Bombyx mori: one gene and its partners. The protein of the gene in region 1 purifies or fractionates together with the protein of each later gene. This does not show direct contact. Links are inferred from orthologs where the notes say so. Each region holds a gene or a part of one and is shown in the gene's direction. Other genes may lie near its edges. The genes, in order: cysteine-rich protein 2-binding protein, molybdopterin synthase catalytic subunit, SAGA-associated factor 29, ZZ-type zinc finger-containing protein 3, transcriptional adaptor 3, protein Dr1 and histone acetyltransferase KAT2A.

Region 1 (4,365 bases):
TTAAAAGATCTTTATACAGTTTTTTTTTTTATCAAGATGATATTAAACCCTATCAAATAAATACGTTATTCATTACAACATTGAAACACCCAAATCACTTCAAGATAGGCTTTGACAGTTATAGATTTTTCTGGATTTCTCTGAGATCCCATCATCAGATCTTGATGTAAACAGAACCATTCGGGAAGTCTATTCTTTCGAACAAAAAAAAAGAATTATCAGAATCAGTTTAAGCATTCTCTAGAAATCGGTGAACATACATAGTTAAAAAACTATGGTCGAATTGATAACTTCCTCTTTTGAAATCGGTTAAAAAGCGTGATTTTAGTACCTTTAATAACAACTTAACATTCTATTATTCAAAAATATTTTCACCTTCTACGTTAATGAAGAGGTGGGTAAAATTTAGCGTTATGGCAAAGTAACTATTCCACGCGGACGATGTCGCGGGCAAAAGCTAGTAGTATACATATATAGTGGTTTGTACTGTACCAAACTGCACATATCTGCTGCGATATAAACCTTCAAGATTAAATGGATAGGAGACTGATAGGGGAGAAGACAAAGTGGGGAGCGGCCACCACGTTGTGATGTCCTCGGACTCTGCCCCCGGTGGACCGTGAACTCGTTTAACCATAACTATCTACATATTAAAATGAATGCGTATCTTCAATATGTTCTTGATTCATCTGATGATCATGAAACTTGGTTGTTGACATTCCAGGAAGGTTCGCATCGTGGTACCATCAGCGCAAGACGGGTGGCGCGCAATTAGTTCAACAAACCTGTTTAATTCATACATTTAGCGACAGTTATGGCTGGACCTAGCCCCATTTGAGCCACACTGATATCTATACTTAATATTATAAAGAGAAAATATTTGTTTGTTTGTGTTGAATAGGCTCCGAAACTAATGAACCGATTTGAAAAATTCTTTCACTGTTTGGAAGCTACACCATTCCCGAGAGACATAGGCTATAAATCTTTTTTGAAAAAATTAGGGATCCTTACTTAAACTCCGATAATGTAACCCAAGGTGTAAAAAAATTACCTAAAATATTCTTTACATCGCGTGCCCTTCGAAAACTATTGATGATAGAATAAAATAATGTACTACGAATTTGTAGAACACATTATTATTCAAAAGTGTTGCGACAGCATATGTCTAACTATTATAGCTATGCCGCAATAAGTGTTCTTTTATTTAAAAAAATAAAACAATGTCAAATATCGTTGAAATTTTTGTTAAAGACCCGAGCGGAGAAGGAGCGGGCCGCTCGTTGTTAATAAAAAATTTAGAATATATCATAATTATTTTTCGTCTTCTAGAGTGACACCTCAAGCGTAACCTCCTTCCAGCATACGCTCTTCTTCTACGACTCTGACTCCCGAAGCGGCTCAGAACAAGAAAAGAAACTGGAAACAAAACCAAAAAAGACAGAAGAGAAACCAGTAAGAAGAGAATCTCTTTTCTCTACCGAACTCAATTCAGAGGATCTGCCGTGGACGACGACTCCTCGCGCGGAGACGAACGTGGTGGAAATGACTCAATACGAAGAAGTACAGCTCTTGAAGCAGATCGAAGGGCTGGTGACTAAAGTAAAGGACTCTGCAAGACGAGCCTCTCTTCACAGGCTGAAGGCAAAACTGACTCTGCGCAGGCTGAAGAGACACAAGCATTTACCTATATTCACTTTTGACAAGTCAGTATGTCTTTTTGGTTAGACATATGGCATGATTGTAATTTTAATTTAACTAGTGGTCCCACGGTAGTTGAAATTCGACTGTAATTAATTGAAATTATAAGTTTGTACACTATTATGACTCTATTGTCAAACAATTATTATACTTCTATAATCACAGATTTCGCCAAGACTACACTTTAGGTAAATGTTAATAAAGACAAACAATATTTAATCTATTCTCAATTTGACCATAGACGTCAAGAACAAAAGTTTGACAATAAATAGTATGCATGCGTGTGTGTGTCAAACACATGGTAGTGTGTGTAATGTTTTTTTATTGATTTAATGTATTTTTTAGGCATAAATTAAAAAAATATTAACATTCTACACTCCTTCTCTATATTCTCTATAAGTGTGGGAAATTTCATACTCCTCCGTCCGCGCAATTTTCGAAAAAAGGGATACAAAGTTTTTCCTTCACGTATTAATATATAGATTACCAATACTACGGTATAATAATAGGCATGACTAAAGGCAGGTCGGGTTGATTCCGCTTGACTGTCTCCGCGAAGTGATCACCGGCTTCGTTTTGAGGATCTAGATAACAATAATACAATAAATAAATATTAATTGGAAAACAATTCCCATGCGGTTGTCTGAGCCCGAGCTGATTGATATCGTGGGGGTAAGGAACGACTGGGCATGGTTTCTCTTGAATTTCTTTTTCGGATTTACATCACGTAACTATTTCTTGTTTACACAATAATATGTAACATAGCGACCCGCCCTCGCTTCGCTTCGGAAACATTAAAACACACATGAAACCAAAAAAAAATAATTAAAAAAAGTAGCCTATGTTCATCAGGGACAATGTCGGCTTCTAATGGAAAAAGAATTTTTCAAATCGGTCCAGTAGTTTCGGAGCCTATTCGAAACAAACAAACAAACAAATCTTTCCTCTTTATAATATTATATTATATGTAACATATTGCTGTCCTTGTCATGCTAAGCTAAGAGTTGTCTTTTTTTTTATATCATTCAGGACGGTAAAGTTGCTGAGCGGTCACGCCGCTGAGGATCCGCGGCAGGTCAACAACGTCGAGAGAGTGCTGGACAGGTTCCAGAGATCGGTGAGACACGAAAACAATCAATATACAGGGTGTCCCAGAAAGAATGGATAATCCTGAAACGCCTCATAGTAGAACTATTGGGAACTCAAAAATAATAATAAAAAAAATTATTTCTTAGGTAGTACCCAAATTAAAAATAAAGAAAAAATAAAAAAAATCCTGATTTTTAAGTTCAGATTAACTTTTATAAAAAATTACACTAGCTACTCACTCATACGATTTCCTGCATATTCCTTAGTGTAGTCCATGTAGAATATTATAACACCAAAAAGCCTATGGATTTCATTTATTTGTAGCTGTTGTATATTCCAGAAACGCACAGCAGTATGGAAAGTATCAACTTTTTTTTTAAATACGTAATTTGGGCAATTATGGTACACAGCGGCTTGGCTCTGCCCCTGGCATTGCTGAAGTCCATGGGCGACGGTAACCACTCACCATAACGTGAGCCGTATGCTCGTCTGCCTACAAGGGCAATAAAAAAAAACCTGAAAACTTTTTTTTTGTGTTTCCAATAGCTCTACTATGAGGTGTTTCAGGATTATTCATTTTTTTATTTTATTTTTTATTTTTTTATTGCTTAGATGGGTGGACGAGCTCACAGCCCACCTGGTGTTAAGTGGTTACTGGAGCCCATAGACATCTACAACGTAAATGCGCCACCCACCTTGAGATATAAGTTCTAAGGTCTCAAGTTTAGTTACAAGGGCTGCCCCGCCCTTCAAACCGAAACGCATTACTGCTTCACGGCAGAAATAGGCAGGGTGGTGGTACCTACCCGTGCGGACTCACAACAGGTCCTACCACCAGTAAGAATACCTTTTTGGGGCACCCTGTATATATTTTTTTAGGAAATTCTCTGTTGTATGTAGTAGTCATAGCTAAAGTTGAAACCGGCGGACGATTGCTTCTAAATGATCTATTAAAAATTTTACTCTTTGTTTAGTTCCTTATGGATAACCTCTGCGGTACTATAGCAAGTACAACCCACGGAACCCTCCTGCTGTCGCGCATGGAAGCCCTGCCCTTCAGGTCTCCGTACTCCGGAGTCACCCTCAAGCCTTACATAAGACGGGACACCGAAACCTGCACCACCTGGATGAAGCTAATGGACGAGCTGCTGAGGAAAACTCACAGGTGATTGATTAGTTTCAATCTTAGACCTAATTGTTTCGAAATCAAATTAATTGGGATTTAAATTTTGATTTTTATATCTAATAGAGCAGTCGCCATATTGTAAATACTTAATAATATCTTATTGTCTTATTATTGAAAATTTTCAGCAGTAGTTTTAAATGAAATAGAGACGTCAACGTCCTACGACGAGGTGACCGATAATGTCCACTTACCATCTCATGAGCCGTGTTTCCGATCACTATTGTTAGTCTTTGAGTTTAGAGAGCATGAGAAATAATTTTATATAAAGAAAACGTTCAGTCACAAGTCAAATCTTGTGTTGACTTGGTGAGTCACTTCCATGTATGTGATGTAGGGATATGACAAAGGCAGGATCTTCCACGGCCCGAATCTCATTGTTCGAAACTTGTACA
Region 2 (5,113 bases), on another chromosome or scaffold:
AACGGTTCGGTAAGTATGTCATTAGAAAACAAAAATGTCCGAGCACTGAACTGAAACTCGCATTCGTATTCTATTTTTATCCTTTTTGTGTTGTACGTTGTACGTAGTCCATTTTATATAAGAAGCGCACCCAGAGGGAATCTTGCCAAAAAATAACGATCAGTATACATAGAAGCAGCACACAAACATACCGGATTGAAAACCGTTTGAATTCGGTAACTTTTTCAATTTGAACTGTCAATTGTCAGATTATGGTAGTGCAGTTAGTATCGATAGTGACGTAAAATTAAATCGAGTTGCGAAGGTGTTTAAGCATTATCTATGGTCAAGTGGAAGAAAAAGAATGTCAAACGGCAGGAGACATGATCACCGAAAGAATTCAAATCTAAACTCATAGGATTAACCTTAATGTATAATAAGAGAGTGTCAACCTATAGAGCCATCGCTACAACATTTCGACACTGTCATTTTAAAATACGAAATGTCGTATTTCCGCTACTTGTTAAAAAATAAACATATTATCGTTTATGCGTAAACTTTTGTTGCTGTTTTTCAAAATTTCACTTCTAGGAATATTTTCTTTGAGAGTTAAAAAGTAGGGGTTGAAAGTGTAATTTCTCTCATTTGAAAGAGAACTGTCAATATTGAAGCTTTTACATAAAGCTTAGTAAAAATAATACACGTGATGTAATTACAATATATTACCTATGGCCATTACTGTAAACAATAATGTACTTTCTTTTACTTGTATTATGATGTACTTTCAGCAATAATTAGTTTATACATTATATGATTATATTTATTCATTATTACATAATTCACAATATCATTATTCATCCCGTGCAAAGACGGATCACTACTATTGAACATATGATGATTATTAATTGGATTATAAGATATTTTATAAATAGGCCTGAGACATGAAAATACAACATAAACATGATTTAATATGATGGAGAGATAGTAGTTAATAACAGACATATTTATAATTTAAGTTTAAATTTTAAGTATTTTATCAACAACTCTCGCTTGGAAAGAGGGTTTTTTTGAACCCCTAAAAAGAGATCCTAAAAGAATATCTATATTTTTAAAATACTATAAATGTAAAATTGAGTTTTGTTATTGACTCTTAATTTTCATGTTAAATTTTCGCATGCACCTTATCACGGGTAATTTTTCTTAGTACAATGGGAGCGAAGTAGATATGCTATAAAAATTTAATTACAAGGTGTGGTCCTGTCTTCTAAAGCGATCTCTTTCATTCAACCGTTGTATGGATAAGATTCAAGAAAGAAAAGTGTAAATCTACTATGACTAGAACACAAGAATGAAATTGGATATGCCATTGTAATATTTTTCCAATTAGGTATTTCTGCAACTAATATACTAAACTAATATGGTCTTTTCAACTATCTAGGTCCTAGATTCTAGGAGATGGAAATGGAGCAAAATCACTGGACTTGGCTGGTTGGCCTATTACGAAAACTGATATCATTCAAACTTTAAACTATTACCTTTTTTATACCTTAAAAAAGGTAATAGTATGGCTTGGTAATGACACCTTTACGCTTCTCGTGCAAAAGAATTTACTTTAATTTAATTCACGAAGCCCGCTATAGAAAGCAGAGTATTATATACACTTGACATTGGCGAAATCTAAAAGGAAACGCCATAAACCTAAGAGATAGATAGATAAAAGAATTTACTTTTTGAAACAAAGCCTATGAAATACTATTCCTTTGCCTGTTTTTTGGGATCAAACAAAAAGTTATTAATTCATAAACTATAACAGCTGTCTCTTGTTTTGCTTTTGAGTTTTAAAATTTGAATTTTAACTTAATTATAACACCTAATAGTTAGTAAGAATTTTAAAGAAGTGAAATTTCTAATCTAAGTTTGAGGAAAAAAAACCCTTACATTACTACCATTTAAGACAGAAGATACAGTAAGTATATTTAAAATTACTTTAATAAATAAAATGTTACGATTTTCAAGGTTACGGTATAACCTCCTAGTTATAAAAATCACACAGTTTAAATTAAATGATCGCTGTAATGACATTTGTACCAACGACGTACTTGAAAATATCTAATAATATTATACTGTGTAAAGTATAGGTATCTATTGTATGAAAGTAGGTGTATGTAATTAGATCGTGAAATTCCGACACGGTCCAATGATCAGCAACATGTTTAAAGCAGTCGCCCATAAAATAAAAACTATATCCACGACATTCATGTAGGTAAGTCGAGTGAATCAGTCAGTAAGTAAATGAAACGCCGCGGTGATGCAGTCAGTAGATATATAATTTTTTAAAATACTTTTGATGTACATGGAAAGTGTATAACGGAAATTAAAAACCTTTTTATTATCCTACAACAAGTACAACATATTTAGTCTTTTATGGATCAATTCGAAATAAAGTAAGAATTTAATTTTTTAAATATTTTTCTTTAGATTTTGCAGCACCATTTTGTACTTTCTAGTTTTTTTTTTCAATTCAAATTACATGTATGTATTTTAATCATTATTGTTTACTATTTACACAGATTTAGAAGCAGTATTGACAGTAGCTATATTGATTATTTTGTTGTAATGTTTTTTATTTATTTTTACTTAAGCAACTTTTTTTTACAAACAGGTTTATAATAACACATCTTTTTATTGCAGGCTGGTAGATTGACTATGGTAAATTATGGAAATAGAAAATATAGAAGATACTGTAACAGTGAAGCTATTGTTTTTTGCTAAATCAAAAGAATTGTCGGGAGTTAGAGAAACTTCCATAACTTTACCAAGAAAGTTGGGATATCAGAGATTGTTGAATATTATATGCGATAAATATAACTTAAACAGTATTAAGAAAAATATACTTTTGGCTAAGAACGAGGTAGTGTGTGAGGATACAGTAGATATAGAAATTAATGAACAAGACAACTTAGCTGTTATACCACCATTGAGTGGAGGTTAAATAGTATTTCACAGGATGGACCATATAAAATTAACAGTAGATAGACTGTCAGTCGAAGAAATAAGTGAACTTGTAACTGATGATAGCTGCGGTGCAATTTCATTGTTTATTGGCACAACTAGAGACAATTTTGAAGGAAAAAAGGTAAACTTGTATTATTTAAAATTTTCTAGTCATTAGGAAAATAGGTATTTTGTTAAGATTCTGTATGTGAAGCCCGTTGTTCAAAACGGTAATGGCTTTTAACCATTTTAGTGTTAAGTGATATTTCATGTCACTATAGGCAGCAAATTCTTCGTGATCTACAGGATATGGCACCCGGTGCATTCACATCAAGCGACGCAATTTTCTTAATGAAATAGGTTAACAAATGTTCACAAATTATTTCTATAATAAAGGAATAACATTACTTGTTATAAAAATTGAACCCGCAATAATTATAATTTTTGTGTAATTATTGGTGATAGGGCATCATATCTGAGCCCACGCGGGTAAGTACCACCATCCTGCCTATATTTTCCGCGAAGCCGTAATGAGTTTCCGTTTAAAGGGTGGGGAAATTGTTGCAATGAAAAAACTGAGGCTTAGACAAAAAGAGTTTGAAGAGCAACCTAGCCCAAATACATAACCAACTTAATTTCTCGCTGGATTGGATTTCTCTTACTAGGACTATTGTTAGCAAATTCTCTCAGGATGAACCCCATGAGCTTACCAACCCGTCCGTGCGTAGCTGAAGATATAAATAAAGAAAATATGGCCATAACTCTTTGTCTATTTGCATCTTCTAAATTTACAATTTCCAACACAGATATAGTTGTTTACGTTCCATAGATAAGAAATGATTTATTTTATATTATAGTTTGACCTCTTTGAACACTTTTTGTAAACAACAACCAAGTCAGATAAATGTGGTGAAGTAAAAAATATTCATGTAAATGCAGTAAATAACAAGAGATTGTTTAGTCATACCGATGTTAGCAATGATTATATTTCAAAAATTTAAACTCATTTTTATACCTTTGTTTTCAAGTTAAGTCTGTTCATACGGTATGCTGCGGGCCACTTTGAACTAGAAGGTTGTTTCTTCCTAGTTTCGAGATAAAAAAAATATATTTTCGTAACGAGCTCACGGCCCACCTGTTGTTCAGTGGTTACTGGAGTCCATATACATACATCTACATCTCAATTGTTTAGTAATTACGCACGTTACTATTATATCGGATTTTTATTACACGATGTGGAAGTCATTCGTGAACGTGTACTAAGTACGTATTTCATTAGAAATAAACCTTATCGTGACCGCCTAAAATTACATATCCGACCCAGGCCACGAGGCAAATCAAAGGTACCGTCGTCTAAAGAACATCCGACGACATTTATTGAAGTCGTCGTGGCCTAAAGGATAAGACGTCCGGTGCATTCGTATATAGCGATTGCACCGGTGTTCGAACCCCGCAGGCGGGTACCAATTTTTCTAATGAAATACGTACTCAACAAATGTTCACGATTGACTTCCACGGTGAAGGAATAACATCGTGTAATAAAAACGTAACGTGTACAATAAAAGTTTTAACATGTGGTAGGACCTCTTGAGAGTCCGCGCGGGTAGGTACCACCACCCTGCTTATTTCTGCCGTGAAGCAGTAATGCGTTTCGGTTTGAAGGGTGGGGTAGTCGTTGGAACTATACAGAGACCTTAGAACTGATATCTCAAGGTGGGTGGCGCATTTACGTTGTAGATGTCTATGGGCTCCAGTAATCACTTAACAGCAGGTGGGCTGTGAGCTCGTCCATCCATCTAAGCAATAAATAAAAAATACTATCGAATCCTCTCGATCGACTCTCCGGGCTTTTAGGCATTCCAGGCACTGGTTACCGCTCTCGTCGAACACGTCAAATACGACAGAGTTCCACGTACAACCTATCCACTGAGTTTATCGCCGGATCTTCTCACTACGTCTCAGTGGCTCGCGATTCCGATCCGATGGTAGATTCAGCAAAGCACTGATCATGTTGGGGCCAGGGTTAGTAATTCTCTCAGGTTGAGGGAGCTCATCTACCAAACCGCGCGTAGTCAAAATAACAGCTTGAGGGGGTACCAACGATCCTATTGGAAAAAAAATAATAGAAATAAGTGATTAC
Region 3 (3,952 bases), on another chromosome or scaffold:
CAATAAGCGGAGTTCTTAGCTGGCTTATAAAAGTCATCTCTTGTTTCTCTGGCGACAATCGAGATCCATTCTGCACACGTGATTGCTAGGAAAGCTAAAATAAAAATGGAAAGCTAAGTATCTAATGAGAGTCCAACAAACAGACACAAAAGCAGCATTAACCAATTTTAACCAACTAATTTTGAAGTGCTGCTAACAATTTTTAAAAAATTATTACAACACAAATCTACTCCATGCATTTACTGTTCTGTTAAGCAAAAGTTTGTCCATGTGTTGGCCGAGCCTTGGCCAACATTTGTAGCGGTGGTTAAAAATCGGTAATTTTGTTCAAAATTTAATATTATTTATAAGTTTAAAGCTTACAATATAGTTTATACTTCATGTACTTACCGAAAGTAAGATACTCCGGCCGTTAAATTGCTTTTTCGGGCCTTATTTTTGCAACTTTTGAATACACACTGCGGTATTGTGAGACGGGTTGACATTGGCTGTGTTTGAAGTGAACTAAACAAAATAAGAGCTCACATTTCAAGTGCGCTGTTATTTGACGAGACGGATTTTATGCACCGACCCGAAATCTAGTTACTATTGTTGATCGAAGATTATTCCTATCAAAATAAATTGTTATTTATTTGTGTAAATATAAAGAACTAGCTGTTCCCGGTCCGCTTCGCTGGGCATTTAAAATTAACATTATTATTTCTCACCCACACAAAGATTTTCATCATTAACGCCCCCGCAACTGGTGTAGGGAGTCCAACACTCATATAAATATTAGCCTATCCATTAAGTACATGTATTTTCTACATGGATAACAAGTTTCAAGTCGTCAAAACCACTGTACATTTATATATTAGTATAGATAAAATGATTTCAAAGGTGCGGTGGTGATGGCGCTATACCCGCAGACCACGTGCTTCTATCGCGCCGTAGTCAACCGGCTGCCCGCGAGCGCTGCTGACCCCTATGAAGTGTTGTTCGAGGTAAAAATTTATAATATTATTACAATTCTATATACTAACTAACTAGTTGACCCGGCAAAAGTTCTTTTGCCATATAATTTTTCTAGGAAAAATAAATAAAGTAGATACCGACTGCAGCGCCATCTGCCAGGCTGATTTGCGAATTTAAACCATCCAAGGCGTGAACCAAACGCATACAAAAAAATTCATTCAAATCGGTCCAGCCGTTTAGGAGTTCAGTGACATACACACGTACAGTAGAATTACATATATGTATATGAAAATGTATAATAATATTTTAAAAGTAATGCAAAAATATTATAACTACATACTTTGTACCAGATTTTATTATAAAATATATTTTTTAACTATGGCAAGACCGCTAAACTATATTCCTATAAGGCCTTGTTTCAAATTAGCTCCAGTATAACAAAAAAAAAAAAACCTTTTGCCTGCAGGATTCGTCGTACGCGGACGGCTACTCGCCCCCGGAGCGCGTGGCGCAGCGCTACGTCATCGCCATCAAGGAGGGCAAGGGCCGTGCCACCTGATGCCGCCCGCACCGCCCGCCCGCCGCCGCGTCCTCCTCCGCTTCCGCTACCGCTACCTAGTCACCTCGGCCGACACCCACGCGTAATGCGTACTGTTGTTCTACATTACACAAGCTGAATCGAAGACAAATTTTCTTTCGCATATTAAAATGATGATCATAATACATAGCTGAATTTGAAATTTAAAGGCTTTACACAAGAATTCTCGAATATTGTTTCAAGAAACATTAATCTCTACGAATTACATGAAGCGACAGGCTAAACTCGCCTTTCAATGCTTCCAAACGGTTGATACTTTATACTGTCTGTGACCAGTTGAAGGATGCTATAAGCACGCCGCTTGTGTGTGATTCAGCCTTTATAAAGTGTAGTTTTTCGTTAGAATTTTGTCGAGTGTGTCAGAGAATTTGTTGGATGTACATTTTGATTTTAATGTGGTGATCGGTTAGTAATCGTTGTGGTGCGATGTGATTTGCGGATTTAGTGGACCGGACCAGTGTGTATAGACGATGACAAAAATAATTTTGTGAAAGGTTTAGTGCTTGTTCACAATAGACGCCAACGAGAGATAGTAAGAGAGACCTAAGTGTTGCATGTTTAATTTTAAAAAATTTAAATGGTACATGAATAATATTTAGATTGTAGACATATAGTCCTTAGATACGCCATATGGCAGATTTATAGAACAAAAACTTGCTGTATATAAATCATAAGATTTATTAAAATGAAATAAGTTATTGTGTTAACTGTAACTGTGTATTCAGTTAATGCAGCTAATTTAAGAATGACGAAAAATGCACGAATTTAAGTATTACCTATTCTAATTTTATCCACTTAGGACACTAAGAACAGTTCGCGTCTGTTCGAAATGTCAATACGGATGAGATGTCCAGGGGCCTCCGTGACTTCGTAGTGTTAGTCCTACAAGCCCAGATTTCGATCTCATTGACGTTGTTGTATGTAGATAGTTTTTCACATAATTCATAAAATTACACTTACAAAATTAATATTACATTACAGATGTAAAACCAAACACGTTAGTTATTTAATCATAAATATTATTATATCCATTATTTAAAATAAAACAACGTTTACGAATTAAATCTTCGCATCCGTTACGCTTTTTTATGAATCACTAAAGTAAATTACTAGATTTAAAGTTGTTGACCCTTTCGCTATGACAGGCCTCGCTGCAGTGTTCCGTAGGATGAGTATACGGCGCACCTGAAGAGTAATTACCATCGCCCGTGGGCATCAGCAATGCCAGGGGCAGAGCCAAGCCGCTGCCTACCGTTTTAGATAAGTTTTATAAAAAATTTAATTGACAGCTGCTAAAGAGACAAAAATTCTCCATAACCTTCATCTAGCGTTATGTATCTAGTTTAAGTGTTTATTATGGTAATAATATGTTGATTACCTATTTTGAAGGAATTAGATTTAGTCACCCTGTAAACTGTAGTGGTCAACACAGACAAATATTTTTATCAAAACTTAGTAGTAGCAGTAGTCTCTAGTAGTCATAATAAAATAAACATTTTAAGATTACATATCTTTTAATTCCTTAGGTTATGTAAAATCTACAGAATACATGATACAATGTTTATGTCCGAAATATACAATTAAATTTTGATTTGTTGTTAAAACGAATTGATTTTTATAAGTTCTTTGATCACTTACAAACTAAAGAGTAATATTAATGGAAGAAAATAAAATATACCTCGCTTTTTAAACAATAATAAAAAATGGTAAAGGAACTTCTTTGACATAAGTGTTTATATTTTCTTATAATGTGTATGCTTTAATGTTTTGTGAGTAAAATAAAGTTAGTCATAATGAAAAATAAAAATGTCTACAAACGTAGGACATATAATGGCAACCATACTTATAAATAAATATTTAAAAAAAACTAGTTTCATCACATGCCCACATACATCAATTCATACTGACACAGCCTATGGAAATTCAACTTAAATCTTACGTAAGAAATGAGCAACTTTTCCACTATGGCATATCGATACTATACATTCAACATAAATAAGAAATGAGATCAAAATGCTATGTTTTGCCAGCCTGGAATCTCGAGTACAATGCCAATGTATTATATTGTTATACATATAAAGCCAGTATTGATTTATAATTAAACATCTGATTATTGTGACTTCTGTTAATACATACAAGTGATATATCGCCAAAAACAGATTTTCCATTGATAGTCACCACGGCTAGAGAGCTAAAAGCAAATATTTGGTACTAAATGAAAATGACTAAAAACATAAATTCATTATAGACTCGTATTTTTGCTGTATTTGGACGAACTCGAAAAACCTGTAAAAAATATAATTAATAAATCAACAATATCAATGAACATTTCTTCATTGCGCAGTTTACTTTAAAACGACACAACTATAAATAAACTAAGGTAATATCAACAAAGCTCTT
Region 4 (3,724 bases), on another chromosome or scaffold:
GTAGATGTCTATGGGCTCCAGTAACCACTTAACACCAGGTGGGCTGTGAGCTCGTCCATCCATCTAAGCAATAAAAAAAATAAAAAAATAACTATGTCCAATTTCACACACACCAATTGATTGTACAAATATTTATATAAATGATTAGAAGGTGAAGAGTAACAAACGAAAGGATAAGACGTCCGGTGCATTCGTGTTGAGCAATGCACCGATGTTCGAATCCCAGGCGGGTACCAATTTTTCTAATGAACTGCTCAACAAATGTTAACGATTGACTTTCACGGTGAAGGAATAACATCGTGTAACAAAAATCAACGGTAGAACGACGTCTAGTACATCCGTACGTAATCCGACGTCCGTACCGGTAGGTACCATCAACCCGCCTATTTCTGCCGTGAAGCACTAATGCGTTTCGGTTTGAAGGGTGGGCAGCCGTTGTACTGAATTGAGACCTTAGAACTCATGTCTCAAGGTGGTTGGTGGCATTTACGTTGTAGATGTCTATTGGCTCCGGTACCACTTAGCATCAGGTGGGCCGTGAGCTCGTCCACCCATCTAAAAAATAAAAAATAAATAAAAAAACAAACCCGCAAAATTATAATTTGCGTAATTACTGGTGGACGCTTTGTGAGTTCGCACGGGTAGGGTAGGTACCACCACCCTGCCTATTTCTGCCGTGAAACAGTAATGCGTTTCGATTTGAAGGGTGGGGCAGCCGTTCTACTGTAAAAACGGAGACCTTAGAAATCTGTCTCCACTTACCTTAGTGGTGGCATTTACGTTGTAGATGTCTGTGGCCTCCGGCAACCACTCAACATCAGGTAGGCCGTGTGCTCGGTCACCTACCAATGTAATAAAATAAAAAACGCCTTCATATATTATATGCTAGGTTGTTGTTTTTTTTTATTGCTCGTTATCCTGTTTTTATTTTACAAAAATAATGGTCACTATATTTATGCTAATATAGCGCCACTGCCAATAAAAACACATAGACATGATGATTTATAAAAAAATTGAGATATTTTGATCAGCTTTCACACAGTCTTAATAAAACACTATAAATGGCACGAAATTACCATTGTTTATTAACAACAAATAGCATTGAATGTTAGTCATCTGTTTGACTTTTACTGAAACTTGTGGGAAGCACGAGCATTGCCATCTGTGTTAAAATTTTAGAAACAAACTACTGGTTTTGTTGTGTGCATAAACACCTAGATGGCGCTTTGTTTTACTTGTTATTCTTGCGTTTCACTTGATCATAAAAAAATATAAATTTATCGTGTACACTCATTTTCCTTAAATAGGAACAATTGTTGGAAATAAATTCTTAGTTCGATGTAAAAATCTCATTGGTTTAGAATCTCACTTTCATTTTTTTCAGATATAGATTCTTTGACGTTTATGTGTTTAATCTATGAAACTGTCAGTAACATATTAAGTGTATAATCTATGTCAGTAACCAAGTAGCCTTTCGAAGAAGTTCTGCGTACATAAAGAATGTAATGTTTATTTATTTTAACGTCTACTTTATAGCAAACTGTTAAAGCCCTAGTGAATAGGTTGGTATTAAATATTTTTTACCTGTTATAAATAAAAGAAATAGACTGAACTCACCGGTCCGACCAGCCTTCAACTGAAGAGCTTCTGAATTCATGCTTACATTTTTTGTTATGAACACTGTTTATTTTATTTTTTATTTTTACACTCAAGTTTTTAGGATTTTTCGCTATTTTCATTCCGAAACTATTATTCATATTTTTATCAATTTAAAGGTCATGGACAGCTGTGATGAATATGAAAATGAAAGTGAGAAGTCAGAAGATGAATTTGCATTTGAATCAGACCATTTAGCCTTAAGAGGAAACAAAGACTACTGCAAGTTACTCAAATACATAGTTAAATTAGAAGCACAAAAGACACAAGCTCTAAAAGACATAGAAACTTTAGCTGAATCTCAGAATAAAGCCTTGGATGACCCTTTGACGTTTATTGATGATCTCAGATCCGGAAACATTCAATTTCCTGCTCATCAAACTATCTCTGATTTGCCCAATATAAACTGGAATGAGTATGGAATAGATGTTACAGACACAATAGGTGCTAGTGAGTCAAAACAATGTAAGGAAGAATTAGATTCTAGTTTCAAAGTTAGAGGGCGGAAGTTCACAGACAATAAACCAGAGACGTTCAATCAGTTATGGTCATGTGAAGAGCAAAAAAGATTAGAGGAATTGTTAGAAATTTATCCTGAAGAGCCTATTGAAGCGAGAAGGTATAAAAAAATAGCACAAGCCCTTGGCACAAGGACCCCAATACAAGTTATGAGCAGGATTCAAAAGTATTTCGCTAAGTTAGCGAAAGCAGGTCTGCCCATTCCAGGCAGAGCACCCAAAGGTGTTGGACGAGATAAAAACAAGTCTATATTTTATAAGAAATCTACATTTTTTCCTCAATTGCATGTTCCTGTAAATATGGAGGACTCTTGTGACAGTGGGGAAGGACACGACAATATGTCCTCTTTAGAAACTAAAAATGATGGTAAATACATGTTGGAACTATTGAAATTAGCTAAAGAACAGAGAGTTTTAGATGAAACCACACCAGTTTATCAAACTAAGACCATGTGTGTTGGTTGTCAAAAAATGGGTTTTTTAGGAGCAAGGTGGACAGACAATTCGGGTACTGACTATTGCACAGACTGCGTGGTGAGATTATTACCTGCTGAAAGACTTATTCCAGTGAGACATTTAACTTGATGCAATAAAATGCTCAGCTTATTTTTGTTTTTTTCAAATTGTCACCAACAAAGATAGTTTTTAAGTATCTTGAAAAACATAGAAGTAAATTTTAATCAACTTCTAAGTATCTTATCGATTTGAAACATTTCAAATCACTGTAATGTGGATCACAATACTAAAATATGGTCACAATATGTTGTGCTAATCTGATTTTTTTTTATGAAACTCATTGAGATTTGAAATTTTTCAATTAATTTTAATAATTACTCTTCGGCTTTTATTTATTGCAACATTACTGCACTTCAACCATTATTTAGTTTTTAAAACTAGATACCCGAAAGAGCTTAAAAGACGCAAATTTAGTAACACCACACATTCTGAATTTTTACTATTTTCAAGAATTTAAACGAATATTTAAAAACAACTGGATACGTATTTCAATAACTTAGGCTATACTGTCAATTACCGACTGGTTCTGGTGATAACGCAATACTGGGGCGTCCGCGGCGAGTGATGAACATCCACTGGACTGGAACACTGAGCACGCCTCGCACCCGCTTCTATCTACCCTCTATACACACTACATTATCTACTGCTTGGCGGGAGTTTTGTGTTCTACACATAAATAATTAACACAATATATCACACCCTCATTCAACACGCCCTATGATTTGACCTACAACTTCATTCTTATTCTTAGAGATCAGCAAAGTGCACCTCATTTTGATTGATGTGTTAATAAAACGTGCAGAACTTCACCAACTAAAATTATTTTAACATCGCGTGCTTCTTTTTAATTTTGGATTAAGCTCACGGTAGCCTAGTGTTATTGCAGTCCAAAAATAGTGAGATACATATTGAAGTGATATCCGCCGCACCCTGGTTAGGTGAAACAAGTCCCTAAAGTATTGCAAAACTTGTACGATTCCAAAACAATCGTACCCATATTATTTATGTAATACTTATAAGTATAATACGCCCTG
Region 5 (4,533 bases), on another chromosome or scaffold:
CTCGCCAAATGTCAGGCTATTATTGTTGGAAGTCAACGCTTGTTATATCGGTTGGATATGGCATATGTCCCATCGGTTATATATGATGGCTCAACCATCAACTGGTGTTCAGTTGTAAAGGACCTAGGCCTACTTATTGACTCCAGTCTGAGTTGGCGAGCCCAGGTTATCTCCGTGTGTCAGCGAGTTACACTTACACTCCGTATGCTTTCATCGTCGCCGCCGATCATTCGTCATCTAATTGATAATGTTTGTTTATATATGTTTTTATATGTATATATTTATGATATGTATATGTATATATTTATGTATATCTATATATTTACGTCTATGTATTTATTTAAGTATGAGTATTTGTATCTATAAATATTATGTATGTTATATATACACATGTTTAAGTAATATCACCTTCACGCTACACCTACCAAGCTTCATCTCTGCACTCCCCTAAGGTAGACTGGTAGAGAATGTCTATGGCATTAAATCCGCCTTTATACTTTCTAGTATAAGAAGTTATAAATAAATAAATATTTGCAGTGTGGTAGTTTAAGGCGGTTCTTAAATTTTTTCGACTAGCTACTATGGCGCTACCTTAATTGGTTCTCTTTTAACGTACACTTTTTTCGGTGATATGGTATTCCTTCATTTTTCTCTTTGAATTAGGTAGGTATATAGGTACTAATCTGACAATCTGTTGACTGACAAATGACAAGTGGCAACATTGACTTTATGTAGGTAAAACTGGACTTTTTGGCGGGAACGCGAGGAGTGAAGTTGTGTGATTTGTTTTATTTTGTCTATTTAGTGTTTCTTCAGGTTTAAATGTGTAATAACGGTGGTTTATTAACTGTTTAATATCTGTGAAAGTGCACAAATGTGGGAAAAAGAAACAAAGCCGCTGGACGTAACTTCTCGGGATCCTCCACAAAGTCCACTGAAAAAATCTTAGTAAATGACCACCATTTTACTGAGATTATATTTCATCCCATATCATCTCATCTCATTTCATTTAATTTCATCCCAGTTGATTAATGTCTCAAATTAATCATTTTCATTTCATTTCACCCCATATTATCATTTTTCATAAAAATATGAATATAAATTAAAATAAGACATGACTTAAAGGTCTTAGTTACCAGGTCGTAAAATCACTTAAAAAAAAAGTAGGTAAAACTTCTGACTTTTTGGCGGGAACGCGAGGAATGAAGTTGTGTGATTTGTTTTATTTTGTCTATTTAGTGTTTCTTCAGGTTTAAATGTGTAATAACGGTGGTTTATTAACTGTTTAATATCTGTGAAAGTGCACAAATGTGGGAAAAAGAAACAAAGCCGCTGGACGTAACTTCTCGGGATCCTCCACAAAGTCCACTGAAAAAATCTTAGTAAATGACCACCATTTTACTGAGATTATATTTCATCCCATATCATCTCATCTCATTTCATTTAATTTCATCCCAGTTGATTAATGTCTCAAATTAATCATATTCATTTCATTTCACTCCATAATATCATTTTTCATAAAAATATGAATATAATTTAAAATCAGAAATGACTTAAAGGTCTTAGTTACCAGGTCATAAAATCCCTTAAAAAAAAGGTAAAGCTTCTGTGTTAAAAACGGTATCAAATAAAAAATAAGTTTTATTTTCTGAACGCCATTTTGTTCTGTGATTTCGGCATTTGTTTTGCTGTACTAGAGAAACTTTAAGAATTACGCTTTTGTCTTAAAAAATCAACACAAGTTGAGTCATAGACGTGATATTAACGTTAAGTACTTTAAAGTCTAACATTTTAAAGTGATTCCAAGATTTCAGTGCAATAAATAATGTAGATTAGCGTAGAATATTGGGCTTGTGTTATTTATTTTGGCGGGTAAATTATATTGAATCGAGATGCTGGGTAAGAGGATGCATCATAATAGCAAAGGCAGACTAGCTAACAAAGACAATGGAAAGCCATCAAGCCCTGGAATTACACCATACACTAAACCAACAAAGATTCCAGGTTCTGTTTCTACTGCCAAAATCAAAGTTGAGACATGCCCAATTCCATACATTAAAATACAAGATAATGCAGTGCTTTTGCCACGATTTACTGCGGTTGCAGCGAGATCTGCTGATGAACCTATTGGGATGGATGAGCTGGATGGGTTACAGTTGGAATTAGAGTCATTGCTATGTAATACTGCCCTACGATGCAGATATTTTCAATCTGAAATAGAAAGCATAGATTCGAATGAATCTAAAAGAGAAAAAAAAGGCAAAGCAGCCGGTAAACAGCTACAGTATCCTGTAAAAAGAAAATTTCAAGATGACAAAGTGGTTAAAACTAAAGACTACACAAAATTATCCAATCAGCCAAAAGTGCCTAAATTTAAAAATTTCTCAAACGCTTCCTCAGGATCTCATACCTACTCTAATGATTTAGTGAATTCAGACAACTCTGTAAAACTTGAACTTTCACAATTAGCACTGCCTAAAAATAATATCCCATATAAATTTTGGAATTCAGTAGAGCCTTATTGTGCTCCTGTAACATTGGATGATATAAAATTTTTAGAGTCCTTATTAGCTCAAAGCAGTAACACCACACTACCTCCGATCCCTCCATTAGGAAAGCATTACTCAGAAGTTTGGGCAGATGAACATCTTGCTGAAGATCAAAATGCATCTAATCCTAATAAGCAAAAATCATCTATGTCTCCAGATGCATCTCATGCTCGTAAGAAGCTAGAAAAGTCATCAGAAAGCATGATAACTGGACCTTTGACACAAAGATTAGTCTCTGCTCTTATGGAAGAGAATGTGATGTCTTATGAAATACCTGATATTAAAGTAAAAATGGTCTCCACCACTAAAAGTGGCTACAAGAATTCATTAACATTAGAAAAGTGTTTGAGGAAGGAATTGGTTGAACAAGGAATACTTGATCCAGAGGATTTACCACCTCTCACTAATCCAGCTGATGATGAAATACTAGCAGAGATTAAAAAATGTCAAACAGAATTAACAGCTGTACGTAAAGAGAATTGTCGAAATCTTAAAAATTTAATTGGTTTGTGTAAACAAGAAATGATTAGACTGAATCTGAAAAAGCAACTGGATCAAGTGGATCTAGAATGTATTGATATTTATAAAAAGATGGTAGCGGCTAAACAAAAGAAGCGCCCTGTTACTAAGAAGGAAAAAGAAGATGCTTGGAAAGCAATAAATGAACAAATAAGGCTAAACAAAGAAATCAATGCTTTGCCACAAACGGGTCCAAATTCAAATTAGATATTAGTGTTCGGCATGATACAAAAATAACATGTGGTAATTATTCTAGGAGTATCTGTTGAATTAAATATGGAAAAATACTTGTTTTATTACTGTGACTACTAACTACTTATTTGGCAAATTTGACCTTGGCCTTGGATTATGGCCTTGACTTTTTAAAGGATAAGATGTTTAGTGCATTTTTATCTAGTGATGCAACAATGTTTGAATCCCGCAGGTGGGTACCAATTATTCTAATGAAATATGTATTTAACAAATGTTCACAATAGACTTCCACCGTGTAGGGACTTCTCATCATGTAAAAAAAATCAAACCTGCAAGTTTATAATTTGCACAATTACTCTGGTGGTAAGATGTCTTGTGAATCTGCACAGAACAGAACTAATGAATGCTAATGCAAATTTTTTATTTACTGCAGATTTTGTATTACCTCATTTTATTTTGTTATATACGAGTCGTCTATTATCAAAGGTGGCAATCTGTGCATTTGGACAAAAAAATGTTATTGGTATGTCAATACAGATTGATTTGAATATAATCGTCTCCTTCAAAGAATACGGTTCAAAACCTGCATTAAATAAAGGTTAATACTTAACCTGTTATTTATCTAAGATGTAGTTAAGAAGAGTTTTGTGACTGCCAATGGAATACAAAGTCAATAATTCGTTTTTCTGATTTACCAATAATTGTCCAAAAGTCACATTGCCGGCTTTGATAATAGTCGACTCATATAAGGTTGGGGAAAAGTTTCTTAACATTTTTTAAGAAAATTCACGACATTTTTAATATAGTTTATTTATATTTAACTAATACCATTTTGTTCAATAACTTTTTGCTATCTTGTAGGTTTTTTGGAGGTTCTGATCAATATACTGCGACAATTGATTTTGGTAGTGCTCTTGTGATGTTAACCTGACACTGCCTAAAAAATTCTAAAGAGACCAAAGCAGGTGGAAATCTGAAGCTGCAAGGTCAGGACTATACGGCGGATGCATTAACACCTCACAGCCAGGCTCTTAATTTTTGCTGATTGGCTAAAGATGTGTGAGGTCTAGCATTATCATGATGAAAAATTACACCTCTTCTCTTGATTAATTCCGGCCGCTTTCTCTCAACTTCTTGCTTTAATCTCATCAGTTGTTCACAGTACAGTTCAGAATCGATGGTCCAGCCTAGTGGTAACAGCTCATAATGAATAATGCCCTTCTAATCCCTCCACACACAGCATCACCTTGTTGCGAGTTAACCCGGGTTTCGC
Region 6 (4,950 bases), on another chromosome or scaffold:
ACACCATTTTATTTTTTCAACGAACGTAAACATACAATAAACTACGTGTGTGAACAATTTGGATAAATATTTTTTTGAACTATGTAGGTATGTCCGCTATTGTATAATCTATGCTATCAGCTATCGGACTGTCATTGACCTAAAGGTTGAAAATACCAGGTCATAAAATCCCTAAAAAAAAATTGGACTGTCAGTTTTTTAATTACCGTAAAATGGGGCGATTAGGGATTGAGTGGCGAATCGGGAAAAAACCGGGAAAATCTTTCGACGCTCAATATTAGTTTTATATTCGATGCAAAATCTTCCATTTTTTGTAGTTTAATAGTAGAATGTTGAAAGTTTACAAAACAACTCTGAACATGCATGATAATAGCTGCTAACTTATAAAAAATCGCGTTTCAAATTAACTTCCTGTGGTGGTAATTATTTTAGTGCTAGAAACTTTGCTCTCTTTTATTCATTTGATAATAATAGAAGACGACTGTGATTTATAAACGTTATTTAGTGTTTGAACCATCATATATATTAAAGGTAACTCTCAGTTGTTATTGGTTTTAATGTATTTGATAAAATAAAAATACATGTAAAAATCTGTTGTTTTTGGGGATATTGGGGACGTCTTAGGTACAAATTACAACGAAAAAGAGGTCAATTGGGATGAGAATAAACGAAATGGAAACGACCTAAGTACAAATAGGTACAGGTTTGTAGGGTTGTCTATGTAGTTATAACAATATTATTTAAATTTGTTGGTAAAAATCTAGTTTATTCATGATGTTTTTGTCTAGAACTTTTATTCAAAATTATCAATGTGTTATTTTATTGTTTGGTAAATATTTATATTATAAGTTAGGTACGTATTGTTTTCTATTTTTAGATATGCCTCGCGTGTACGTATCAGAATGCAAAGCCTTATAAAGAGATATGATCCCTTAATATTAAAAACAGCAATAGAAGCCTACGAAATTGGGAATAAGTCTTTAGTTGAAATAGCTAAGCAATTTAATATAAGTAAGTCGATTTTGCACAGACATGTAACAAGAACAATGAAATCTCAAGGTGGACAAAAATGTCTAAGTAATATATCATAACATATATTAATATTTGTCCAGAGTGGGGGTATCCACCTGATTAATCTATGGAATAACGGACACACCTAATCTCTTAACCCAGATAAAAATATCAGGCCCTAAGTACTTACTAAGAATGAAGAAATATAAACCGCTTATAAGAAAGCCCGCTCGTTCGAGTTTAGGCGCTTACTCTCCCTTAAACAGAATCCTTTGGGACTACAATAATGTCCACGGTAGCGCGGTCTCCGTCAATGCTCATTCGTAGTTGTCCGATTGCGCTGAACTAACTTTAAGTGATGAAATAGATGTTTTTCTAATTATTTCACAACTTACAGGAAAAAACTGTCGCGGATACTTTCCCAAGTAAATATAAATTAATCACAAATAATTAAATGTAATCAAGTTTTATATATTATATTTTTTTTATTGTTAATGCACTGTCGATTGCACCTATAATTGAGGTGACATCTGCCATGTACTTTTGTCAGTTTTTCAATGTTTTTTATTGATGATCACTTTGTTGGTGCAACTAAATAAATTAATTAATTAAAACCAAGTAGTGCCAACCCTAGCAAATTTCTCATTTCGTCCCAATTAACCGCAATTTCCGGGTAAATAGGGATTACACCTATTTTTGCTTTTTTTGCTTAAACTGGAATGCTAGTTGCATAGTTTTAAATTGGACAACAAAGATGCCCCCAAGACTCCATCATTTTGATCTTGATATAGCATTATATACATCAACAACTACCTTAAAATTGGTCATAAAGTTGGAATTTGTCCCTAATCGCCCCATTTTACCGGTATATCAAATATATTAAGTGTATAATCTATGCATATTATATTTGAGAGTCAAAGTTGGACTTTTTGGCGGGAACGCGAGGAGTGAAGTTGTGTGATTTGTTTTATTTTGTCTATTTAGTGTTTCTTCAGGTTTAAATGTGTAATAACGGTGGTTTATTAACTGTTTAATATCTGTGAAAGTGCACAAATGTGGGAAAATGAAACAAAGCTGCTGGACGTAACTTCTCGGATTCGTCCAAAAAATCCACTGAAAAAATCTCAGTAAATGACCACCATTTTACTGCGATTATATTTCATCCCATATCATCTCATTTCATTAAATTTCATGCCAGTTGATTAATGTTTCAAATTAATCATCTTCATTTCATTTCACTCCATATTATCATTTTTCATAAAATTAAGAATATAAAGTAAAATAAGACATGACTTAAAGGTCTCAGTTACCAGGTCATAAAATCTCTTAAAAAAAAGAGTAAAAGTGAAGACTTTTTGGCGGGAACGCGAGGAGTGAAGTTGTGTGATTTGTTTTATTTTGTCTATTTAGTGTTTCTTCAGGTTTAAATGTGTAATAATGGTGGTTTATTAACTGTTTAATATCTGTGAAAGTGCACAAATGTGGGAAAATGAAACAAAGCTGCTGGACGTAACTTCTCAGGTTCCTCCAAAAAGTCCACTGAAAAAATCTCAGTAAATGACCACCATTTTACTGCGATTATATTTCATCCCATATCATTTAATTTCATTAAATTTCATCCCAGTTGATTAATGTCTCAAATTAATCATCTTCATTTCATTTCACTCCATATTATCATTTTTCATAAAATTAAGAATATAAAGTAAAATAAGACATGACTTAAAGGTCTTAGTTACCAGGTCATAAAATCTCTTAAAAAAAGAGTCAAAGTGGCCCAAAGCATAGATTATACACTTAATGGCCCAAAGTGGCCCAAAGGCTACCACAAAAAAATAGAAGTGGGCGTTCATAAATTCGTTACCATGGGAAGTCCAGAGCGTGAACTTTGTCCACCACCTTCAGAAGAGGACGAACTGACTCTACCAAGAGCTAGTATAAATAAAATGATAAAAGAGTTAGTGCCTTCTGTTCGTGTAGCGTTCGAGTCAAGGGAGTTAATCCTAAATTGCTGCACTGAATTCATACATTTGATTAGTTCTGAAGCCAATGAAGTATGTAATCAAAGCAATAAGAAAACAATTAATGCAGAACATGTCCTTACAGGTATATATTTCACTATTGTTAAAAGACAATTAATATTATCATAAGGAACACGAACATATTTTTTTTACGAATTTAACTTTAAGCTTCAGTATCAAACTAATTTTCAGCCCTAGACAGATTAGGATTTAGTGACTACACAATAGAAGCAGAAGCTGTCTTAAAAGATTGTAAAGCAGTGGCGGCTAAAAGAAGACGACAAAGCACACGCCTTGAGAATTTAGGCATTCCAGAAGAAGAATTATTGAGACAACAACAAGAACTGTTTGCAAAGGTTTAAACAATTTAAATCAGTATTTTCTTAACCATTATGAAATTCAATAAAAATGTGTCTGTGGTCATGATTTTGAAATGAAAAAAATGAAGTAACAATCTTACCAAACCAATCAGACTAATCCGACATATGTAATAAACCCTATTTATATTATAGAGCAATTATGTTTCAATTCATTTAATGTAAACATTAGATGTGGATTTGTTGATCTTCATACAAACTGGTCAATAATAAATTGGTCTCTAATGTCATTTAAACAACATAAGGATGGGATTGTTATATAGACCATACAAAAAAAAACCAATTTGATTCAATTTAATTCAAAGTAATCACCCCATTTAAATGTCAGCTTAAGCTTCATACTTTAGTCCTTTCTACTCAGGAATGTACAGGAACTTTTAGAGAACACTTATTAACCTAACCCTTTGAGGTGTAACAGCAATCATGCAATACAAGCTGTTAAACAATACAATTGAGGCTTCAATCAAGGTTCATATAGAACAAACTCGAGTAAGCACTTTGTAATAACCTAGATGTTGTATTTCTTAAGCTTTGGGAAAATAAGTAGGAAAAAAGTGTTCATAAAAAAATATGGAATCGAGCAAGCCCCTGTATTTGATATCTTATTTTGTTAGATATGTTAACAGGAGACAGAGTATGATAAAACCACATTTTCATAATTACTTATGGTCAATATGAGAACCAATTGTAGATATTATTTTAATATAATTATATCTCATGGCAAATAGTTTGTGTATATACTGGTTTAACTTTTATGACTGGTTTAACTTAGTCCATGTGGTTTTCTTAATTTTTAATCATTAAATCAAATTTCTCTCCGAGAAATGACCTCTTATCCTTTTATATATCGACGCTTGAAAGGCAAATGTGACTAAGCGACAATGCGTGAACTTTACAGTAGACTAATTTAAAGTTGAAATACCTGACAACAAAATTTATTTTAATGAGTCTAGCTGTAGTAGAATCTAGCTAGTAGCTGTAGGATTGAAATTATTTTAATAGACCTAGAAATATATATTTTTTGCAAGTCGAATATGGTTATTGCCTATCATTTATGTACAAAGCAGTTATTGTCGCTTAGTCATGTTTGCCTTTCAAGCATCAATATGTTTTAAATTATATATAAAAAAAAATATTTTTTCTTATAAATCCTCCATTAAAATATACGTCATTATCTTATTGCCATCTAGTGGCCGACGCTCGTAAACAGAATGTGTGAGAAACGACCTAGCTCACTATCTCCCTCTCAAAGGTCTAGTGGTTTGCGAGACGATCTGTCTATTTTCTCATTCTCGCTCCTCTTAAATTGTATCTTTTCTCTCAAGCTGTAACGAAGTAACTGCCTAACTATCGTGAGTTAAATATTACTCTCAATGCGCCTAAAAAAATTCACTTTTAAAAAATACCCAATTTATAATTAAACTTTATTTAACACAGGCCCGTGAGGAACAAGCAAAACAAGAACAGCAACAGTGGCTTTTACTACAACAACAAGGACTTGTTGGTGTTGAAGGAAATGCACAACCATATGTACCACCTACAAC
Region 7 (4,365 bases), on another chromosome or scaffold:
AAACAAACGCTATGTTGCAGGTTCGATAAAGCAGGAGGGCGTGAAGCGTGCGGGCGTGAGTGTGAGCGGGACGGGCGGCAAGCGGCGCCGCGTGTGCTCTGAGGGCAGCGATGACGTCAGCCAGCGCACGGTGGCCGACATCGTGGCGACTATCTCCGACCCCAACTACATGTGCGGACCGGACGTACGTGCGCGCTCGCTCCCGACGAACGAACAGCTTTATTTGCTTATTATCTATATAATAATGCGTGAAGCAAAAACTTTGTACCACTTTTGCGCGGACGAAGAATTATGAAATTTACCACACTTATAGAGAATATAGAGAAGGAGTGCAGAATGTTAATATTTTTTTATATCATCATCATCATCATCATCAGCCTTTGCTGGACATAGGCCTTCCCCAATGCCTTCCACAGAATGCGGTCCTCCGCCTTCCGCATCCAACTATAAAAAATAATAAAAATAAAATATAAAAAAATAAATTAAATTTAACTGTTTTTTAATTTTTAAACAAACTACTACTAATTGAATAAGAACTGTCTGATGAATTCATCTTTGTTTAATACTTCACTATTAAATTTTATTGCCTTTTGTTTATTTCACTTTTACACTAAACGCAATATTGCAAACTACCCGAGTACAAAAATGGCGGAGAATTTTAGGTGCGTGAGAGCAGACGTAGACACTAACGCGCATGCGCCAGGGAGGAAGAGTTAGACTTTCTTCCCTGTACACTGGAAGGAAAACCGAACTTTCGGCGTAGGTAGGAGAAAATAAATGTATTAGACACACAGACACACATGCATACTATTTGTTTATTGTCATACCTTTCTTATTGCTTATAATCTGTGGTCAAATTGAGCACAGATTAAACATTGTTTGTCTTTATTAGTACCTATTTGTCTGAAGTTGGGGAAATCTGTGATTATAGAAAGTAATAGTGTTTCACAATAGAATCATAGTGCACAAACTTTTAATTTCAATTAATTATAGTCGCATTTCGACTACCAGGGGACCGCTAGTAATAATAATAATACCTTTATTTCCCGAAAATTCTACAGTTTACGCTAACAATTTTAAGTAGATTAAAAAAAATTACAATTTGATATATGAAAACAAAATATAAAAATAAAATCTACAGTTCTGCTACAAAATGTAACTCGTTCCGGTGTGCCTTTCGACAAAGGCCTCCTCCAACTATTTCCGCTACTTTCTATCTATTTATTACACTCGACTAAATTGTTACGGACTTTTTGACGGGAACGCGAGGAGTGAAGTTGTGTGATTTGTTTTGTCTATTTAGTGTTTCTTCAGGTTTAAATATGTAATAACGGTGGTTTATTAACTGTTTGGTATCTGTGAAAGTGCACAAATGTAAGTAAATTAAACAAAGCCGCTGAACGTAGCTCCTCGGGGTCCTCCAAAAAGTCCTCTGAAAAAGTCTCAAGTAAATGACCACGATTTTATTGAGATTATATTTCATCCCATATCATCTCATCTCCATTTCATTTCATGCCATGTTTCATATTAATCAACTTCATTTCATTTCATATCATTTTTCATATAAAAAAGTTTACATTAAAATTAAAATAAGACTACGTAAAGGTCTTAGTTACCAGGTCATAAAATCCCTTAAAAAAAACTAAATTATTGCCGTAAACTCTACCATACAGGGTAGAGTACTAATAGTAAACTTTATATTTAGTCATATTTAAATATTGGAATGGCAACCCTGTGTGATTTTTCAAACCGTTAACTCGTTCACGGCTTGTGCTCGCATTACAGTTGAAGTTTAAAAAAACCTTGACGTCGCTACATTTTATTATCCTAGATAGGCTAACAAACTCTCAGTCTAGGGGTATTTCTTCACGACCCATAAACCAAGCAAAGTGAGCCCTTGTAGGCAGACGAGCATACGGCCCACCTGATGGTGAGTGGTTACAGTCGCCCATGGACTTCAGCAATGCCAGGGGCAGAGCCAGGCCGCTGCCTACCAGTGTTAGTTGTATGCACGATCGCTGTCTCGTCCTAACTGGATCTTCTGATTATACCGCACTAGAAAAAGGCCGAATGAAAATACTGATACGGATATAATTTAACATTATACAAAACAAACCAAATGATCGATTAATTCCTCAGGCATTATTCCAAACGCAAGCACCGCGCGACGAGGCGGCCAAAATCGAAGAACAAAGAAAATTAATAGAGTTCCATGTGATCGGCAACTCTCTGACTGGGCCCGTCAACAAACAGACAATGCTATGGTTGATCGGTGAGTATGTAGAAATTATCTAAATATAATTAAAATTAATAAACGTTAATTTATATTATTATAGTCTCGGTCGGATTGTAAACATGGTTATAGATTTTTTTTTAGCCGACTTCAAAAAGAAGGAGGTTCTCAATTCGACTCTATGTTTTTTTTATGTTTGTTGCCTCATAACTTTTGTCTGAGTGAATCGATTTTGATGATTCTTTTTTTTAATTTAAAAGCTGACGCTTCCCGTGTGGTCCCATTTTATTCCCAATTTAGTCCAGTTCTGATAACGGTATCCATAAGAAAACCATATAAGTCTTAAATTTGCATTAAGTACGTGCGCGACAAATAGATGAATAACTCAATAACTCAATATCACGCCAACCGATTTCGATGATGATTGTTCTTAGTTTATATTACATAGTTTGTTTTGGAATATCTTTTTTTTTCCTATTTGAAGTTGGTTTTTGTTAAAGCATTTCTATTTATAATTATTTTAATAACAACTTAACTGTACTGATTGTAATATTATCAGTAAATATACATATAATGAAGTGTACGGCGTTGCTTCCAGGTCTCCACAACGTTTTCTCCCACCAACTACCGGAAATGACTAAAGAATACATATCGCAATTAGTGTTCGATCCGTGAGTATTAATTCAAAGGATAATGACTTTTATGAAGCCATACATAAAGCTTAAATTTGAATATACTTACAGGAAACACAAGACATTGGCTCTGATCAAAGAAGGCAGGCCGATTGGTGGCATCTGCTTCAGGACATTCCATTCGCAAGTATGTAAAGGGATATATAGTTGTGTTAGCGAATTTTAAAATTAAAGTTTTAAGTCGTCGTGTCCTAAAGGATAAGACGTCCGGTGCATTCGTATGTAGCGATGCACCGGTGTTCGAATCCCGCAGGCGGGTACCAATTTTTCTAATGAAATACGTACTCAACAAATGTTCACGATTGACTTTCACGGTGAAGGAATAACATCGTGTAATAAAAATCAAACCCGCAAAATTATAATTTGCGTAATTACTGGTGGTAGGACCTCTTGTGAGTCCGCGCGGGTGGCTCACACGGGGGACGAGCTCACAGCCCACCTGGTGTTAAGTGGTTACTGGAGCCCATAGACATCTACAACGTAAATGCGCCACCCACCTTGAGATATAAGTTCTAAGGTTACAACGGCTGCCCTGCTTCACGGCAGAAATAGGTAGGGCGGTGATACCTACCCGTGCGGACACAAGAGGTCCTAACACTAGTAATAAATAAGGTTTATAGGCACATAACACCTTCATTCGATGTAAAATATCAAAAATCGTACTTAACCCCTTCTTCCACTCACGTCTTCAAAATTGTTGACAGGGCTTCAGCGAGATAGTATTCTGTGCGGTCACGTCCAACGAACAAGTGAAAGGATACGGCACTCACCTCATGAACCACCTCAAGGATTACCACATCCGAAACAATATACTGCACTTCCTTACCTTCGCTGATGAATTTGCAATAGGTGAGCGCGATTAGTTTCTCAAGGTAACGTAGCTCCTTTTTTAACCGACTTCAAAAGAGGAGGTGGTTCTCAATTCGACTGTTTTTTTTATGTGTTACCTCATAACTTTTGATTGTCAAGCCTCAGAAGGCTACGTCTGACACTCACAGAATACAGTCACTAAAGATCCTCTGATCTCCGAGCCTGGTCTGTTTAATTCCACAGGCTACTTCAAGAAGCAGGGTTTCAGTAAAGACATTAAGCTGCCGAGGGCGATGTACCAAGGATACATAAAGGACTACGAGGGAGCAACCCTCATGCACTGCGAATTGAACCCTAGAATAGTATACACACAGTTCACTTCGGTTATTAGGATGCAGAAAGAGGTACGTCGTTACTGATATTTGAAATTATTAATGTTGTTGTGGTGGGTAGCCATCATACAACGCAATTGATGCCTGAATGTCGCTTACGACATTTTCAAGATAAGCTCGCATATATACAAGTTCCGAACAACACTATATACGGACCGTCGGTCTACCGAGCAATATCACCCGCTCGGTGAAGGGTCTTCCCATTGTCGTTAAACATCCAAAATTGTACTAGGGAGGC

What was found.
Region 2: the proteins of cysteine-rich protein 2-binding protein (region 1) and molybdopterin synthase catalytic subunit purify together in Drosophila melanogaster (affinity purification with mass spectrometry; 4 studies listed by BioGRID, with this or other methods). This does not show direct contact. The link is inferred for Bombyx mori from reciprocal best matches to the Drosophila melanogaster genes Atac2 and Mocs2B.
Region 3: the proteins of cysteine-rich protein 2-binding protein (region 1) and SAGA-associated factor 29 purify together in Drosophila melanogaster (affinity purification with mass spectrometry; 5 studies listed by BioGRID). This does not show direct contact. The link is inferred for Bombyx mori from reciprocal best matches to the Drosophila melanogaster genes Atac2 and Sgf29.
Region 4: the proteins of cysteine-rich protein 2-binding protein (region 1) and ZZ-type zinc finger-containing protein 3 purify together in Drosophila melanogaster (affinity purification with mass spectrometry; 4 studies listed by BioGRID). This does not show direct contact. The link is inferred for Bombyx mori from reciprocal best matches to the Drosophila melanogaster genes Atac2 and Atac1.
Region 5: the proteins of cysteine-rich protein 2-binding protein (region 1) and transcriptional adaptor 3 purify together in Drosophila melanogaster (affinity purification with mass spectrometry; 4 studies listed by BioGRID). This does not show direct contact. The link is inferred for Bombyx mori from reciprocal best matches to the Drosophila melanogaster genes Atac2 and Ada3.
Region 6: the proteins of cysteine-rich protein 2-binding protein (region 1) and protein Dr1 purify together in Drosophila melanogaster (affinity purification with mass spectrometry; 4 studies listed by BioGRID). This does not show direct contact. The link is inferred for Bombyx mori from reciprocal best matches to the Drosophila melanogaster genes Atac2 and NC2beta.
Region 7: the proteins of cysteine-rich protein 2-binding protein (region 1) and histone acetyltransferase KAT2A purify together in Drosophila melanogaster (affinity purification with mass spectrometry; 4 studies listed by BioGRID, with this or other methods). This does not show direct contact. The link is inferred for Bombyx mori from reciprocal best matches to the Drosophila melanogaster genes Atac2 and Gcn5.

The regions. Positions count from the first base shown.
Region 1 is NC_085111.1:1,081,566-1,085,930, reverse strand, and holds part of cysteine-rich protein 2-binding protein, read left to right. Parts: intron 1-1,329; coding exon 1,330-1,703; intron 1,704-2,727; coding exon 2,728-2,815; intron 2,816-3,761; coding exon 3,762-3,952; intron 3,953-4,365.
Region 2 is NC_085131.1:1,996,424-2,001,536, reverse strand, and holds the start of molybdopterin synthase catalytic subunit, read left to right. Parts: upstream 1-1,676; 5' UTR 1,677-1,945; intron 1,946-2,016; exon of another isoform or gene 2,017-2,423; intron 2,424-2,670; 5' UTR 2,671-2,986; coding exon 2,987-3,115; intron 3,116-5,113. UniProt on the Drosophila melanogaster protein: Catalytic subunit of the molybdopterin synthase complex, a complex that catalyzes the conversion of precursor Z into molybdopterin.
Region 3 is NC_085125.1:4,979,651-4,983,602, forward strand, and holds the end of SAGA-associated factor 29, read left to right. Parts: exon of another isoform or gene 1-94; intron 95-390; exon of another isoform or gene 391-612; intron 613-879; coding exon 880-983; intron 984-1,420; coding exon 1,421-1,513; 3' UTR 1,514-3,058; downstream 3,059-3,952. UniProt on the Drosophila melanogaster protein: Component of both the SAGA and CHAT histone acetyltransferase complexes, which both predominantly acetylate histone H3.
Region 4 is NC_085121.1:4,879,750-4,883,473, forward strand, and holds ZZ-type zinc finger-containing protein 3, read left to right. Parts: upstream 1-1,778; coding exon 1,779-2,759; 3' UTR 2,760-2,780; downstream 2,781-3,724.
Region 5 is NC_085109.1:9,155,474-9,160,006, reverse strand, and holds transcriptional adaptor 3, read left to right. Parts: upstream 1-1,659; 5' UTR 1,660-1,892; coding exon 1,893-3,275; 3' UTR 3,276-3,355; downstream 3,356-4,533.
Region 6 is NC_085110.1:7,486,232-7,491,181, forward strand, and holds the start of protein Dr1, read left to right. Parts: upstream 1-1,938; 5' UTR 1,939-2,873; coding exon 2,874-3,114; intron 3,115-3,221; coding exon 3,222-3,385; intron 3,386-4,843; coding exon 4,844-4,950. Other genes in the region: ccdc25 (coiled-coil domain containing 25 protein), read right to left, coding at 1-7. UniProt on the Drosophila melanogaster protein: Bifunctional basic transcription factor. Activates transcription of DPE (Downstream Promoter Element) containing promoters while repressing transcription of promoters which contain TATA elements.
Region 7 is NC_085120.1:4,780,101-4,784,465, reverse strand, and holds part of histone acetyltransferase KAT2A, read left to right. Parts: intron 1-20; coding exon 21-184; intron 185-2,139; coding exon 2,140-2,272; intron 2,273-2,831; coding exon 2,832-2,904; intron 2,905-2,976; coding exon 2,977-3,052; intron 3,053-3,629; coding exon 3,630-3,774; intron 3,775-3,978; coding exon 3,979-4,139; intron 4,140-4,365.